4 linked regions of the Saccharomyces cerevisiae S288C genome follow. The gene in region 3 interacts genetically with the main gene of each other region. Each region holds a gene or a part of one and is shown on either strand. Other genes may lie near its edges. The genes, in order: YLR126C, DIM1, IMA5 and ZNF1.

Region 1 (4,038 bases), on a different chromosome or scaffold from region 3:
TGGGAAAGTGTTGAGAACAAAAACGCCACTAAAAACAGCAGGATTATTAAAAAGTAAAAAAAAAAAATTCCTTTTCAAGCAGGCAAACAATGGGTTATTTGAATGGAGAAGTATGCTACTATTTCTGCATGTTGTGGATCTAAGGCGATGTGGGCCTAGATTCTTTCCTTTTTTTGTTTTTACCTTAATTATCTTACGTTGTTCTTTCCGTCAGTTTTACACCTGACATGGGACAAGAGAACAAATTGTGAAATAAGTTCAAGCCTCTGTTGACATTTATTGATGTATCTATTTCTTTGAGGGTTAATTAAAGATAACAAATTGCTTTCTTCCGCTAATTTGAGCCTATTGAATTTACTGGGAAATGCCAACGTGGTCAGACATCAATTCAAGAAGTTTAGTTCTCAGAGAGTGTAACTTGCCTGTTTGGTCGCTGCAGTGAAACTGCCATTAGCTCTTTAGAACAACGTTCTAACTATACGAGGACCATATTACGTAAATCAACAAACCTCAAGAATTAGTGTCATATTTTCTCGCAGATATTACTACTGACATTCAGTCAGCTATATCCATTATGCATGAGCGAAAAAAAAGTGCATACAAAAAAGCTTATTTATTGGACTTAATAAACGAAACTATGTAGTGCCGAACCTTCGGATACTGATCATTGGAGTGATTTGATAAAGTTTCTGCAGAATTCTGGGAAATGAAGGAAATGACGTAGCGAGGCCTTCATGCAACACTAGTTGAAATTGAAAAAAAAAAAAACCTTATAAGCTATCTTTCCTATACGTCCTCTATCGACTATATAACCCAAGCAGCTGTTTCATATTTTTTGCAAGAATAACCTCCAAATATTCCTGGCAGCTTGTATGCCATTGTTATCCAGCTCCTGGCACTGTCTTTCGTATCTATTAAACTCTTCAAGGGTAAGCTTGTCTTGAGACTTCAAAAGCCCCTTCTGAGCGACATCACTATTGAATTCAGGGTGTCCTTGAAACGTCAGCACTCTGTTTTGCCTGTAAAATCCTTGGTTTTGACATTTTTCACTTGACGCCCAATTTTGGTATCCCTCTGGGACATCGAACACGCAGTCACTGTGCACTTCAGAAAGATTTAATTCTTGAGCACCAAATAACTTTTGACCCACAGAGTTCAGTTTTAGTGACACAACCCCACCTTCAAACCCTTTCGGATTCCGTCCAACTGAACTTCCTAGAGCAGCCGCGATAACTTGATGACCAAAACATATTCCAGCTACGGGCGGATATTCAGTCTTGCTAGTTAGCATCTCATTTAAGAAACTTCTTAATTTCATAATCCATTCAATTTCATTATCAAATGAATCATATTTTGAACCAGTGATGTATATGCCTAAATACTCATCTTTCTGAAGATCTGACAATTGAGGGAACACGTTTTTTTGTACGTGGAACACTTCATATTCGACATCTTCTGCGATACATTCCAATTTCCTGGTCTGTTCTAATAGCTTGATAGCCATATCAACAAAATTGCCCCATGGTTTACTCCATTCGTTATCTTCATCTGTATAAAGAATAGCTATTTTTTTTACTGTCATTATGATGTTTTCTTAGTATTTTTTTGATATAATTCAATTCTAATATATGTTAATGCATAATTTTCAGAGCTATAGCGGTATATATTTCAAACTTTCTCAATTATCTATGTGAAATTATAAACCTTATCTGTCTTTTCTTCTGTACACCTCATCTGCCACTTCCCACTTTGGCGCGCGTTGACATTTTGCGACAAAAAGAGATTGTTCGTGGCAGTCGTGTAAAAAACTGCACCTCAATCATGAGTTTTTATGCCCATTTTTCACTATTTCATATGAACCATTGGCAATGTACTTCAGCCTACCCTCATCGGCCAGAGTGTTTAAATATCCCTCTAATTGTTGAAGAGTAATTCGGTTATATCCCCAATCTTTTGGCACGGTAATTTTCAAAAAAGAATGGATCTTATGAAGTTTCATTGCGCCTAAATTAGTCAGCATTCCTTCGATGAATGGCAGACTTCTTTGAAGTGTCAATTCATATTTTCTTTCTATCTCAGAATCGTTATGTAGTTCATAGTTACTGTTCTCAATCTCCATTGGGGCGGTCTTTTGTGCTTGATCAAAATCCATCTCGCTATGTTCAATAACGGAATAGGTTCCATTTTCTTTTAAAAGCACACCTTTTTGAATCCAGAAATCTAACAAATGAGTTAGCCTGGGAGGAGCAATATTTAGTGACTCAGAAAGCTGCTCTAGTGATAAACAAATTGGCTCATCATTTGGAGAATCAAACTGATTTATTACGCTGCATTGTTCTAAAGAAACGTCTAACACTAATTTCCTACCATCTTTGAAAGCTAATTGTATTTCTACTTTTCCTTTATCTTTGCATAGTTGTAACTTGCGCCCAGGTTTCAGCTGTGAGTATATATCAGAATACTTCTGTAGCTCCCTTTCTAAATCTATTGGTAAATGAAATGCAAGATCATTAGAACCTTGTGTATCGCAGTTGTACTTCCAGTAGAGGAGTGAGATAAATTTTGGAAATATTATGGGATCCAGTCCGGCTACTTCATGCATTTTACGGCAGAGCTCCTCGCTACATTTTATATCCCAAAGCATAACATCAATGCTATTCAAATTCGACTGGTCTGCATCTGCTGCAGGGGCTGTTGTTTCTAGGAGTCCTAATATACCGTTTGTTATATAATTGGAATGACTTGTTTCTGTGAATTTGACTATTTTTTCTCTTATTAATTTCAAACATCGGGTCCATTTTTCATCCAACGTATAAAATTTCAAAGTGAATAATCTGTCGGTTAAGAGATTTCGAAATTCTGATATGAAAAATTCTCTTGATTCAAATAGATCCAAAAGCACCTCAAACAAATTTGTCTTAATATAACTTGATTTGATGTTACCGGGAATCATGTCATTAGGCTCTGGTACCCAAGCTATATAATAATTGAGTATATGTTCGTATAGCATGGCGTGTCTTATTGGTAGGTCCTTGTTCAATTCCCTCTTTCCTTTCACCTTGAGGTTCCATAGAAAGGGGCTTTTTTTATTCTTGTCCCTTTTGGTGATGTTCGTATCTTGATTGATATCAGAATCGTGCAAAGTGTCTACAAGTGAGAGCAGTGCCTTCATATCTACATTGAAATTAATTTTCTCCTTTAGTTCTTCTTCAGGTAAGTCCAACATTGCGTATAACAATACATTTACTAAGTGCTTCCGCTCCTGAAAGTAAGGTTTAACAAACGTGGTTATTGAATGTAGGCATCTCCCTGTTGGATCCAGGACCAAAAATGCTTTGATAGTTTTAACATATCTCAACAAAGCGTCCACCGTAGTTACGCTGGGGTTTAGAATGTATTTCTTGAAATCAGACAAAAAAGTTGTTACAATATTTGTGTAGTCTTTAAAATCTTTCATAATTTTCCTCAATTCCAATAAAGTAACCTTTGAATCAGGATAAGCCAAAACGCATATATCAAAGATTTCATTCGTTCTTATCCTAAGAAAATTGGACTCAAAACAGTTGAAAACTGTAGTGGTCAGTTCGTGATCATCCTCTGGACAACCGACTAATTTAGAGAACTGAGACCAATATTGATTAATAAATTTGTTGAATGTTTCCATAATCATAAACCTTTTATTCCATACTCTACTCATGTTATCTTCACAAAATTTATTGATTTTGCTGTAAAGAGCATTGACTATCAATTCCGTAGAGGATAAGGAACCATTAGCAGATTTGAGCCATTGGATTAAATTGTCTGCCAGGTCGAAATCATCATCCATTATTAATTTGTCTAATCTTGTTCTTAAATTATTTTTGAACTTTATATTTCTATTCAACAGATAATGTCTTAAAGAATTAAGTTCAAGTGCCCAGTCGTTTACATTTACGTCAAAAATAGGAACGTAACGTAAAGGAAACTCGTAATAATTTTCCCATCGTTGGATATCTTTTAGATAATTAATGTTGTTAAAATGTAAGAAAAAATGATAAC
Region 2 (4,100 bases), on a different chromosome or scaffold from region 3:
AGCAACTAGAGGTCTTAGCGTTAATGAGCCATTTCCATCTTCTTTTAGTTCTTCTTACGAATCAGCTAATGAACAGGAATTAAGAATGAAAGATGACTCCACGAACAGTAGTAGCGCAACAAATTCTTCTAGTATGCAACGCATCAAAAGAATTGGATTAAAAAAGCACGCTGATATAATTAATGATGTTTCTAACATTTCTGGAATACATGGCATCAAGTTCAGGAATTTCTCTTTACCAGAGTCCAAAACGATAGCGCATTGTTTTTCACTGAATGAGCGCAAAGTAGAATACATGATAAAAGACAAACACTTAAAATTATCGTTGGATAAACATAATAGAAGATATTTGATGAGAGTCTATCCTCACGTTTTACGATACAAATCATCAAATTTTAACCCAATACCTTTTTGGAAGGCCGGTGTACAAATGGTGGCTACGAATTGGCAAACTAATGATATTGGACAGCAACTTAATCTGGCAATGTTTCAAATATTAGATCACCAACCTGATGGAAGTTTTAAATCAGGATACGTGCTAAAACCAAAAAAGTTGCTACCTGTAGTAACAAAGGCGAAAATGATTCCATTAATTTACGAACATTTTGAAAATGGTAGTGATCCTGTTACTGTTAAAATTCGAATTTTATCTACACAGTTATTGCCCAGATTGAATGATACATCGCCAAGCAGAAATAACACCAATTCCTTTGTTAAAGTGGAGTTTCATACCGATGACGAGCCGACAATGCCCATCTCAATCGATAAGGGTACAAGGATTTCTGCCACTGAAGCATCCACTAAGAGTTCTCAAGGGAATGGATTCAACCCAATATGGGATGCTGAAGTTTCTATCACATTGAAAGATACAGACCTCACATTTATAAAATTCATGGTTATCTCTGAAGAGACCCAGATTGCATCTGTTTGCCTTAAGCTGAACTATTTGAGGATGGGATATCGTCACATTCCGTTGTTTAACATGGAGGGGGAACAATACATATTTTGCACTTTATTTATTCATACACAAATTTTATAGGCGATCTTTTTCCGGCCAAATACACATATTCATAAATACGTACATATACCTACTTGCATATACCAACATGATTACCTAGAATGGATATATCAAATGGGACGACGAAGTACCACGACAATACACAATAACAACTTCTGTTTTTCGCTGATTGCCTTCTCTTCAGCAGAAAGTTGATGCATATTTCGCGTAGCGCGTTGACGCGTCTTCTTTCTGAAGTTTTGTGCTTTTGTTATCATACTATATAAAGTAAAAAGAAAGGAGAACATATTAAGCATTACTGAATTAGGATCCTTTGGAAGAAATAAAGTAAGAGACACTGAAAGATGATATCACCATCAAAAAAGAGAACCATTTTATCAAGCAAGAATATAAACCAAAAACCACGAGCAGTGGTAAAAGGCAATGAACTTCGTTCACCATCAAAGAGAAGGTCACAAATAGACACAGACTATGCACTAAGGCGAAGTCCAATAAAGACAATCCAAATTTCTAAAGCTGCACAATTTATGCTGTATGAGGAAACGGCTGAAGAAAGAAACATAGCTGTCCACAGACATAATGAAATATACAATAATAACAATTCTGTGAGCAATGAGAATAATCCTTCCCAAGTAAAAGAAAACCTTTCACCCGCTAAAATTTGCCCTTATGAAAGAGCATTTTTAAGGGAAGGAGGAAGAATTGCATTGAAGGACTTAAGTGTTGACGAATTCAAAGGTTACATACAGGATCCTCTCACCGATGAGACTATACCACTGACGTTGCCACTGGGTGATAAAAAAATCAGCCTACCCAGTTTTATAACGCCGCCAAGAAATTCGAAGATATCTATTTTCTTCACTAGTAAACACCAAGGACAGAACCCAGAGACAAAGATATCCCGTTCTACCGATGACGTCAGTGAAAAAAAAGTAGTGAGAAAACTGTCCTTCCACGTCTATGAAGATGAGTAAATAATGTACACAGTTAGCGTCTAATAATTAATTAACGATACCAATTTAATTCATTCACGTATTCCTCACCTCGTGTGTAAATTACTAACAGAGTAGTAATAATAATAAGAATCAATAATAATAATAAATCCATCCTTGTGTATTACCCGGGTTAGAGGGTAGAAAAATTTTTGAAAATCGCGATGAGCTGAAAATTGAAAATATTTGGTTATAACATAAGATCGATAAATTAGGAACAGTGCATTATACAGTGGACTCATTCGGTTAGAAGCTTTAGACGTCGTACCTTTTATATCGATACAAATAAAAATAAAATTATACCATGGGAAAGGCTGCGAAAAAGAAGTACTCCGGAGCAACTTCGTCCAAACAAGTCTCTGCCGAGAAACATTTGAGTTCAGTATTTAAATTCAACACAGATCTAGGTCAGCATATTTTGAAAAATCCTTTGGTGGCGCAAGGTATTGTTGATAAGGCACAGATTAGACCCTCAGATGTTGTTTTGGAGGTTGGTCCTGGTACAGGTAACCTAACTGTAAGGATCCTCGAACAAGCAAAAAACGTAGTGGCAGTAGAAATGGATCCCAGAATGGCTGCAGAATTAACTAAGAGGGTACGTGGCACACCTGTGGAGAAAAAGTTAGAAATCATGCTTGGAGATTTTATGAAGACTGAATTACCATACTTTGATATCTGTATTAGTAACACTCCTTACCAGATCTCATCGCCTCTGGTTTTCAAATTAATTAACCAACCAAGACCACCAAGAGTATCTATTCTTATGTTTCAAAGAGAGTTTGCTTTAAGATTACTGGCAAGACCAGGTGACTCATTATACTGTAGATTATCCGCCAATGTACAAATGTGGGCTAATGTTACACACATCATGAAAGTGGGTAAGAATAACTTCAGACCGCCACCACAAGTGGAATCCAGCGTTGTTAGACTAGAGATTAAAAATCCAAGACCGCAAGTGGATTACAACGAATGGGATGGTTTGTTGAGAATCGTCTTTGTGAGGAAAAACAGAACGATTTCAGCTGGCTTCAAATCGACCACCGTGATGGACATTCTGGAGAAGAATTATAAGACATTTTTGGCGATGAACAACGAAATGGTGGATGATACAAAGGGTTCTATGCACGATGTCGTCAAGGAAAAGATTGACACAGTTCTGAAGGAGACCGACTTAGGCGACAAAAGAGCGGGTAAATGTGATCAAAATGATTTCCTAAGGCTATTATATGCTTTTCACCAGGTTGGTATCCATTTTTCATGAGCTCTCTTATCAATTATGTAAGTGCTTGTATACTATTTACCTAAGATAAGAAAAAAAAAAGCAATTCAAAATTAAGCTTATCTTGACAGCGGGGCTGGTTTGTTTCTAGAAGACAAAAAGTGGGGAATCATTTTTACGTAACTCCCCCTGATAAGAAGGACTCACATCCTTATAGGTACGATAAAGAATGGTTGTATCTTTCCTATTTTTCGAAATCGTTATCTTATATAGTTGAACTACTACGGTTAAAAAGCTTAAGCCTCAGCCCTCTTAGTCAAACTTCTTTTTTGAAGGCACCAGGGTGCATAAAAGTGCGTCTATTGTTTCCCAGTGGAACTCTGTTGAGATAGCGATGTTTGTTTTTTTTTCACTTAACGGCAACCAATACCGATAGCGACGTCGCTGGCAGTGTAGAGTGGCCGTACGGCGTCGCTAGATGGCACGGCACTGATTGCGGCGGGAGTCGCTAGGCGGTGATGCATTTCCGCACAGGGACCAGAGGAAGCTTCCCAGGCGGTGACAGTAAGTGAACTCATTATCATGTCTTCTCCAAAACATTCGTGACATCTAGTCATGCTCCTCGCAATTCACTCCGATTGGTATAGCTTTTTCGGTAGTTTTAGCTACTATGCTTAGGGGAAAGAGGAGAAACCGTACCGTCAGTCTCAGTCAAAAAATTTTGATATTCAATCTGATAGCAAAGTTGGAACTTGGGGTTATCTGGCCCTTTTTTGTTATCATATTCGTATACCCAACAACATATCGGTTCCACCGGTCCTTTTTATATATAAAAGACGATGTGTAGATGCACTCGAGTATTCTTGGAGAA
Region 3 (4,586 bases):
AAGCAGTTCCCATTGCTTCTTCTGCCTCCACACCAGCAACAAGAAGATCAATCTCTGCAACCACAGCAGGATCGTCAACACTAAGCTTGTTCGACTTGGCAAAAGAAGCTTTAGCTTGCTCAATCTTACCGACTTGCACCAAAAACCGAGGAGATTCCGGAACAAACGTCATACCACCAATCATAATAATAGCCCATGCAAAACATAGACCAAGCGGAACACGCCACTGGACAGAATTCGAGTAAGTCTTGGTACCATAATTGGTACAATAACCCAAGAAAATTGCGAAAGTCACCATCAATTGCCAACAAGCTAGCAACGTACCTCTGATATGCTTTGGCGCAGTTTCCGAAATAAGCATCGGGGCAAGAACACTAATGGAACCAGCACCTATACCAGCGATAATTCTTCCAATAAAATACTGATACCACTTATCTATAGAGGCAATTTGAATGACAATACCAACCATATAAACGACAATAACTATAATCAAACCCATGCAGCGGCCGTAAATATCACCCAATTTAGACAAGAAAAGACAGCCAATGGCGCTTCCCACATTGAAGATGGACACAATCAACCCAGTTCTCACATTAGATAAGTAGTAAGTGTTCTTGGAATGGCTATAATTACCAAATCTTCTTAAAAAATCAGTCTGATTGACGAAACCAGAAATCGTACCTGTGTCCCAACCGGACATAAATCCACCGAAAGCCATACATAAACACATGATAGAAACAGTAGCATAGGCTGAAGCAGGCTTTTCTGGAACAACAACTTCCTCTGCCTCTTCCCCATTATACTCGGAAAAGTCCTTGTTTTCCTCCACTGTAGGTACTGACAGATGTGAAGAATTTTCTATCGAAGGGCAGCCATCATCTTCTGCCTCTTCGAAAATCGGTTCTTCTGGCAAGTTGGTTTTACGATCAGTCATGGTTTTTGCTGGCGTTCTGAGCTAACTAAAAGTGACTTATAAAAAATGCAATCTAAAATAAGAATGAAACAAAAATGGTCGTTTAAATATATCTAGTCAAGCTTCATCCCTTACAATGGTTAGCGATGATATTCCGTCGTCCAAAAGATTACGACCATGCCAGTTCATATTATTTTACTTAAGAGTTCATGTCTTTCATGCGAAGAAGCGTTCGGAAATTCCAAAACTTCTTAGAGTTCAGGAACAGGCCCGGTCGCGGAATTATTCTCGGGATAATTCCAGCCGCTTGGCAGGTAGGCTAAATTACACATTTCAAGAACTTTCTCCGGCCTTTTCTGTGAGATACGTTTATAAGTTGCTGCAGCAGGATGCTCTAGGCTGCTTTCTCTGGAATTTCTCTCCTTCTCCACATACCTCGTTGTTGAATCCCCGCGGAGGTGATATAATAAAGTTGCGTGAAAGCGTAAATGCCTAGACGGAGAAAAGAAAACGGGGAAATAAACTTTGCATTATTTTTCCTCCGTGGAGAATCCTCGGAGAAACACGGGAATATTTGAAACTATTTGCAACATTGTCCATTGAAATAGTCACAATCCTAGAAGCTAATTCACCGGAAAAAGTAATTCACACTTAAGAATTGTATCTTCCATTACCGCTACGGTAATTGATACGGTTTTGAGGAGTAAGTTCATAAACGTCTGACGAATTATAAATTAGGACACTTGTTCACATATCTTGGTGCGAAAAACTACTGTTTCTTGATGACTATATAGAAAGTGCTCAATATTGAAAAGAAAAACATGACGATCATCCATAATCCTAAATGGTGGAAAGAAGCCACCGTCTACCAAATTTATCCTGCTAGTTTCAAGGACTCCAACAATGACGGATGGGGTGATTTAGCTGGGATTACCTCCAAACTTGACTATGTCAAAGAATTAGGTGTCGATGCGATATGGGTGTGCCCATTTTATGACTCTCCTCAAGAAGATATGGGTTACGATATTGCCAACTATGAGAAGGTTTGGCCACGTTACGGTACCAATGAGGATTGTTTCCAAATGATAGAAGAAGCTCATAAGAGAGGTATCAAGGTTATTGTTGACCTGGTTATCAACCACTGTTCTGAAGAGCATGAATGGTTCAAGGAGAGTAGATCTTCTAAGGCTAATCCAAAGCGTGACTGGTTTTTCTGGAGACCTCCAAAGGGTTACGATGAGAAAGGTAATCCAATTCCTCCCAACAATTGGAGATCTTTCTTTGGTGGATCTGCTTGGAGATATGACGAAAAAACTGGTGAGTTCTTTCTGCATGTGTTTGCTCTTGGCCAACCTGATTTCAATTGGGAAAATGAAGAGTGCCGTAAAGCCATTTATGACTCCTCAGTGGGCTATTGGCTACGTCACAACGTTGATGGCTTTCGTATTGACGTAGGCAGCATGTATTCTAAGGTTGAGGGCCTACCCGATGCTCCTATCACTGATCCTACAGTTCCTTACCAAAAAGGAACTGAATTTTTCATAAATGGGCCACGTATCCATGAGTATCATAAAGAAATGCATAACTACATGCTCTCGCAAGTTCCAGAGGGTAAAGAAATCATGACTGTTGGAGAAGTTGGTATCGGGAATGAAGACGACTTCAGAGTTTATACCAGTGCCAAAGAAGGAGAACTAAATATGATGTTCAACTTCAAGCACACCTCAGTAGGTGAAAACCCAAAATGCAAGTACGAACTTATTCCCTTTACTTTAAAAGACTTTAAGCTGGCTCTTGCTGAAAGCTTTCTGTTTATCGAAAACACAGATTGCTGGTCGACCATCTATTTGGAGAATCATGATCAACCTCGTAGCGTTTCGCGTTTTGGCTCAGATTCTCCTAAATGGCGTGAGATTTCGTCCAAGATGTTGGCTACTCTCATCATTTCATTGACTGGTACTGTTTTTATCTACCAAGGACAAGAATTGGGTATGCCCAACTTCAAAAACAGAAAAATTGAGCAAATCAAATGCGTTGAAGGTACTGGTACATATGCCGCCATTAAACGTGATTATGGTGAAGATTCTGAAAAGATGAAAAAGTTTTTTGAAGCATTAGCTTTGATCTCTAGAGATCATGGGAGAACACCATTCCCATGGAGTGCTGATGAGCCTTCTGCAGGTTTCTCGAAGGATGCCAAACCATGGATTGACATGAATGAATCATTTAGAGACGGAATCAACGCAGAAGCTGAGTTAAAAGATAAAAACTCAGTCTTCTTTTTCTGGAAAAAGGCCTTACAAGTTAGAAAGGAGCACAAAGATATCCTTGTTTATGGACATAACTTTCAGTTCATTGATCTTGATAATGACAAGCTATTCATGTTTACAAAGGACACAGATAACAAAAAAATGTTTGCTGTTTTCAATTTCAGTAGCGATAATACGGACTTTTCAGTTCCTGATAATGAGGCCTCCTACACCATGTTTTTTGGCAACTATGCAAACTCAAATGGTGATTCCCGCACCTTGCAGCCATGGGAAGGAAGACTTTACTTGTTGAAGTAACGAGCACATTTAACATAAACGTACTGATCTTTCGAAACAAATAGTTATGCCGATATTTATGAATAATAAACTTGTATATTTCTTTTTACTTTTGCTTTTCATATGTGAGCATTGGATACTTAACTTACGCTGTACGCTATTTTCAATTGCAATTTATATATGTATATAGAAGACAGAAAATTCACTGAACCTTTTTCCGAAGAAATATAAAATAAAAAGCAACGTACAGCAGAAAAATAGAAAACATCATTATTACTGTTTCTATTGTCTAAATTTAGCCCTTTAAACCCCATCATCATAAGTACTAATTACCACGAATTCAATAATTAGTAAATACATTCGACTATTCTCACCCTAACTTTCGTCACTTTATCTTAAAACACTAGCTAAAAGTCGTTTATTATAACAAAACTAAAAATTTCGTAGTATGCACGCCTTATTGCCCAGTATTTTGTTAACTGTATGGATTGTACTAGTAAAAAAAATCTTGACGAAATTGAGTATAAACAAAATTTTAAAAAGCATAGTGCCAAATCAACAGATCTTAGTGAGGTGCAGGCCTTGTTCTTAACAAAAGCAAACCCCTCTTTATATATTGATATATAGGTGAACTAACTCAAATCATGTAAAGCTTTTCCTAAAGGAGCTGTGAGACTCCATTCCGAGAAAGTAACTTTCAATCCGCCACGCTCAGGTGTGCAAGCCATTGGTCCAACAAGGTAATGGTCAGAAGTTGGAAATGGAGCCAAACGTACTAACGGCCATGTTTTTTTATCAGAGGACACCTGAATCCTCAAAACGCCCTTTTCAACAGTAACACGAAGCCAGAAATCGCGAGCATTTCCGCCATAAACAGCAGTTGACCAATCTGATTTTCCATTTGTCAAAACACTGCTTAGCATTGCGTGGCCATCAGAAATTTCTATGCCAGCTTTGAGCCAATGTCCATCATCTATACGAACCATGATACCAGCCTGATCATAAAGACTCTCGTAGCTTCCCTGAACACGGACTTGTGCAGTAAAAGCACTACCTGTCTCTACTCCCAAAAAATGACCGCTATCACGGGTAAATCCGTAAAATGTTTCACGCCAAAAGTCAGTTTT
Region 4 (4,372 bases), on a different chromosome or scaffold from region 3:
AAGGTGCTGTGATTTCTCTATTTTATATTGCCTATTATTTTTTCAAATGATTTGAGCCGTTTTAAATTGAGTATGCAATGAGTCTTTTGAATCAACCGTAAGGCAGTTCCATAACCACTGCCACGAATACGTTTCACTACCTTGAAGAATCTCTAATGTAGGCCGTATTCTTCGCACTTAGTTCTGACGATGTAGACATCTCATTATATAAGAGCATAAGCGCCTGTTTCTAGAATCATTTCTTCGTGACCCAGCTTTTTGAGTTATTTCGCGGTATTTTGAAACATTTCTCGAGCTTGACGTGAACATCCTTATATTTCATGACAAACTCGATCATTGGAACATCCCTGCCTCGATTTTAGAGCTAGTATCAAATTTCAATCTCTTTGTGATGGAGCCCCGCTCCTATTTCAAAAGAGAAGTTTCTTGTATGCATATGTTATTGAAGTCTGATTATAGCAAGTGCAATGTCGTCTCAATTATTTTAACTATTTTTAGCCATACATGTTAGTTATCCTCAAAGAGAGCCTCCAGACTGGGAAGCAGTGTTTGTCATTTCAAATAAGTAGATTTCACAGTTTGTATGATTTTCGAAGCCAGGATTCATTGGGCTTTGAGTAAAGAGAAGCCGCGTATTACGAACAGCTTACGATATTGTAAAATATTCCCTTATTGTGGTGCCCCAATGGATACATGCCAGAGAAATGTCTGTGAAATTGAACAATTACAATGACGAGAGCAAGTAATCCGGCGGCCTTGTCTCTCTTTCACTAGTACCGTCTATATCTCTTGAGCGCCAATATGCGAAAGCTTTCACAAGGTTGATGTTCATGGTATTCGGCGTCGATAGCGAATTGCTTACTAAGAAACATTAGGGTGCAGTACAGCCTTGTTTTTCCAGTTCGACTAACCTTTTTCTTGGCAGTATGGAGACTGACTAGGTCTCCCAAACATTCATTGTAACTGCTGTTTAAAGATTTTGTTCTAACCTAAATTCAAGTGAGAAGCTGAACATGTGTCTCTACTTATGATATCACGACAGCAAATACTAATCTTGCCATAAATAGTCTAGCGTTTTGCAACTTACCTCTAGATATATTTTATTTCTTGAGGAACCGTTTTCGTCGGTAATAACAAAATACTACTGAAACGCCACAGCATTGAGAGAATACGTTATCGATTACGGCTTTCTTCTCGCTCCAGATGTCGCGGGTAAGATATTCACCTCAAACTTTTCTTGTTGAGTGTCGTCACAAATCTAGAACCTACATGCCATCTCAACGATTTTTCTGGAGAAAGGCCTCACTCCGTTCCGTACGTAATGCATAGATAAAGTATCAGGATCTTCACGATGCTCGAGAGTTACTTAGTAGTCTGAGTTTATGCGAAAAAAACTCCGCCGTTGTAATAATCGGGAATACACAGAAGTAGTACTGCACTATCACTGGGATACTCAAAAACCTTCTTTTTAACTTTTCTATCCCACAAATAGAACATAGGAAAGAACATTGACTCCTCCACTTGAAGTTAAATTACAGGAACAAACGCCTAACTATAATTTCGACATTGTTGCATCAACGAATCGACCGAAAGAAAAATCTGGAGTTGCAGTTATCACTTGTATGTGCACTAAGATTTATATTTTTACTCCTGAGATCTGCCAAATCGGTAGCTTATTGAACTGCGTTCCTTTTTCCCCTGAGTTCTCGAGGTACCTGCGGCTTTGTCTGTGCCATCTCCCCCACTTTAAAGTACCCCACGTTACTACCGCGTTTTTCCCCACCCCCGGCTTAATAAATTAGCTATATCTTGTTGACTTAAATACGGAGAAAAGAAGAAAACCTTCAAGAAATGCTTCATTGTCTTGTCAAAAGAGCTAAAGTAAAAGAGCTCTAGTTCGAAGATGGCCCGCAATAGACAAGCGTGCGACTGTTGTTGCATTCGTCGAGTAAAGTGTGATCGTAAAAAACCATGTAAATGTTGTCTTCAACACAATCTGCAATGTACATATCTTCGACCTTTGAAGAAAAGAGGTCCAAAACCCGTCAAGGTGAGAAATTTAAAGAAAGTAGATGATGTACAGGTATTTAGTAAAAGTAGTAGTGGTGGCATAATGAAGGTTCCAAAGGCACTAATTGATCAGTGTCTGCGGCTCTATAATGATAAGTTGTATGTGATCTGGCCTTTGCTGTGTTATGATGATCTTTACGAACTTTTAGAGAAAAGATATGACGAAACCTGTGTGTATTGGTTCCTGGTATCTCTTTCTGCCGCCACGCTTAGCGATTTGCAGACTGAAATTGAGTCGGAAGGAGGGGTTACCTTTACTGGGATACAGTTATCCAGTTTCTGCATGTCATCACGCCAAGAATTTGACGATTTTAACGGTAGTGATATATTCAAGATTATGACGTACTATTGTCTAAACCGCTGCTACGCACAGATGTCCAACTCAAGAACTTCGTATCGGCTTTCTTGTGAAGCCGTGGGGCTCATTAAGTTGGCGGGGTTCCATCGCGAGGAAACTTTGAAACTTCTTCCTTTCGATGAGCAGCAGCTTGGAAGGAAAGTTTATTATTTGCTTCTCTTAACGGAAAGATACTTTTCTGTGTATACGCATTGCGCCACGAGCCTGGATACCACGATTGCTCCACCACAACCGGAGAACGTAACGGACCCCCGACTATCTCTCGACAGCTTCTTGGAGATGATTAGGGTATTTACTGTACCGGGAAAATGCTTCTTTGATGCTCTAGCTACCGACTCTGCTAATGTAACCTGTACTGAAGACTCCCTTAAAAAGATATGGAGGGAACTTCATACGGTGCCACTTGAGATAGAACCATGGTCTTACGGCTATGTAGACATATCTTTTTCACGGCATTGGATTAGAACACTTGCTTGGAAGCTAGTGCTTCAAATAAGCGGTATGCGAATCAGTTTCCTTTCAAATAGCAAGAATACGCATATTCCAGTAGAAATTGCTAGAGACATGTTAGAAGACACATTTTTAATCCCAAAAAATCTTTATGCAGTTCACGGTCCAGGGATATCAGTGAAAGCACTAGAAATAGCCGACGCATTGGTAGATGTTGTGAATCAGTACGATCAAAATGCAGAGTCGGAGGCTTGGAATTTTTTGTTCGATATATCCAAATTTGTCTTCTCTCTTAAGCATTGTGATAGCACATTAGTTGATAAGTTTACGACAAAGTGTCAGTGTGCGCTTATCACGCTTCCTCTTTCTAATCCGCTTGAATCGACAGATGGTTCTAAAGAAGATGTAGATGCGCTTCCTTAAGTAAACACATTGCTACTTGCATTTTACCTTTCAAGATGTAGTGATTACGGACAGTTGAAGAGGCTAATAGCATCTATTTCTTCTTTAGTATATGGTTCCTGCAGGGCAAACAATTATTTCCTTTGCAATTTTGCGGCAGTGGGGAAGAATGATAGCACTAATAGTGAACTTGTGGACAATTATGCTATTATAGCAAGAAAAAAAATTTATTTTTTTTTCAAGGGGGGTGATTGTGATGTGAATTAAATCAAGGATATACGCTTTTATCGTCATGATAGTCGTGCGATTTGTACTTGGTTATAGATGAAATGAGTTAGTTTTTAATAATTGTGATCACAATATAGCTGTACTTATCAGGCCATTAAAGTTTCCTGTAAGGTGCACGAGAAGTCATGGTCATAAAATTATCAGAATCTCCAAGGAGAGGTTCAACGGCGTCGGTTGCCCATACTCCATATTAAGTACCCTGTCATTTCCACAGTTACATTAGTTGGAGTAGTATAGAAACCAAAAAGATCAGAACTCCAATAGGCAGTATTTGGGTCACAGTATTCAGTGTCACGTTTTTTAGTTTCATAAAGAGGTCCGCAAGGATCATATCCATCCTCATCACGCTTCAAAACTGCATAAGTCACACAGGTAGGAGTGCTCTCACAAGGCGGACTATAGTATATGGAGAGATTGGTCTGTCCGCTAACGGAACCTAACTTCTTTGTATTGGAGTATTCATAGCCCATATATTCAGGCTCCAAGTATGTGGTTTGGTCGCCTATTGTGTACTCATAAAAATTAATATTCATACCATCTTCCCTTTTGTTTGTTGGTAAGCAAGCTTCTGTACTGGCTAAGGTTGTAGTAGCTAGCGCCACGAAGACCAAGAGTGCCGAAAATACGGAATGGGGTATAGACATTTGAAGGTGTGGAGGGATGCTGGTATCCTCCAATTGTTACATTAAGATTATCATCTGGCTATCATGAAATGAAGGTTACCTTTATATAAGAAAGACTTTTAAAAAAATGTTTTGTTTTCTGCTTTAGGGAAGTAGATATCGTTCCTGCATTTTGATATCA

What was found.
Region 1: mutations in IMA5 (region 3) and YLR126C together harm fitness more than expected from each alone (negative genetic interaction), as found in Saccharomyces cerevisiae (one large-scale study listed by BioGRID).
Region 2: mutations in IMA5 (region 3) and DIM1 together harm fitness less than expected from each alone (positive genetic interaction), as found in Saccharomyces cerevisiae (one large-scale study listed by BioGRID).
Region 4: mutations in IMA5 (region 3) and ZNF1 together harm fitness more than expected from each alone (negative genetic interaction), as found in Saccharomyces cerevisiae (one large-scale study listed by BioGRID).

The regions. Positions count from the first base shown.
Region 1 is NC_001144.5:393,939-397,976, forward strand, and holds YLR126C (putative amidotransferase), read right to left. Parts: upstream 1,583-4,038; coding exon 827-1,582; downstream 1-826. Other genes in the region: APC2 (anaphase promoting complex subunit 2), read right to left, coding at 1,820-4,038. UniProt on the Saccharomyces cerevisiae protein: May have a role in copper and iron homeostasis.
Region 2 is NC_001148.4:36,807-40,906, forward strand, and holds DIM1 (putative dimethyladenosine transferase), read left to right. Parts: upstream 1-2,314; coding exon 2,315-3,271; downstream 3,272-4,100. Other genes in the region: PLC1 (phosphatidylinositol phospholipase C), read left to right, coding at 1-1,039; ACM1 (Acm1p), read left to right, coding at 1,363-1,992. UniProt on the Saccharomyces cerevisiae protein: Specifically dimethylates two adjacent adenosines in the loop of a conserved hairpin near the 3'-end of 18S rRNA in the 40S particle.
Region 3 is NC_001142.9:23,235-27,820, reverse strand, and holds IMA5 (oligo-1,6-glucosidase IMA5), read left to right. Parts: upstream 1-1,734; coding exon 1,735-3,480; downstream 3,481-4,586. Other genes in the region: hexose transporter HXT8, read right to left, coding at 1-934; REE1 (Ree1p), read right to left, coding at 4,092-4,586. UniProt on the Saccharomyces cerevisiae protein: Alpha-glucosidase with specificity for isomaltose, maltose, and palatinose.
Region 4 is NC_001138.5:26,329-30,700, forward strand, and holds ZNF1 (DNA-binding domain containing protein), read left to right. Parts: upstream 1-1,903; coding exon 1,904-3,301; downstream 3,302-4,372. Other genes in the region: YFL051C (uncharacterized protein), read right to left, coding at 3,730-4,212. UniProt on the Saccharomyces cerevisiae protein: Transcription factor that regulates respiratory growth and plays a critical role in stress adaptation during non-fermentative growth.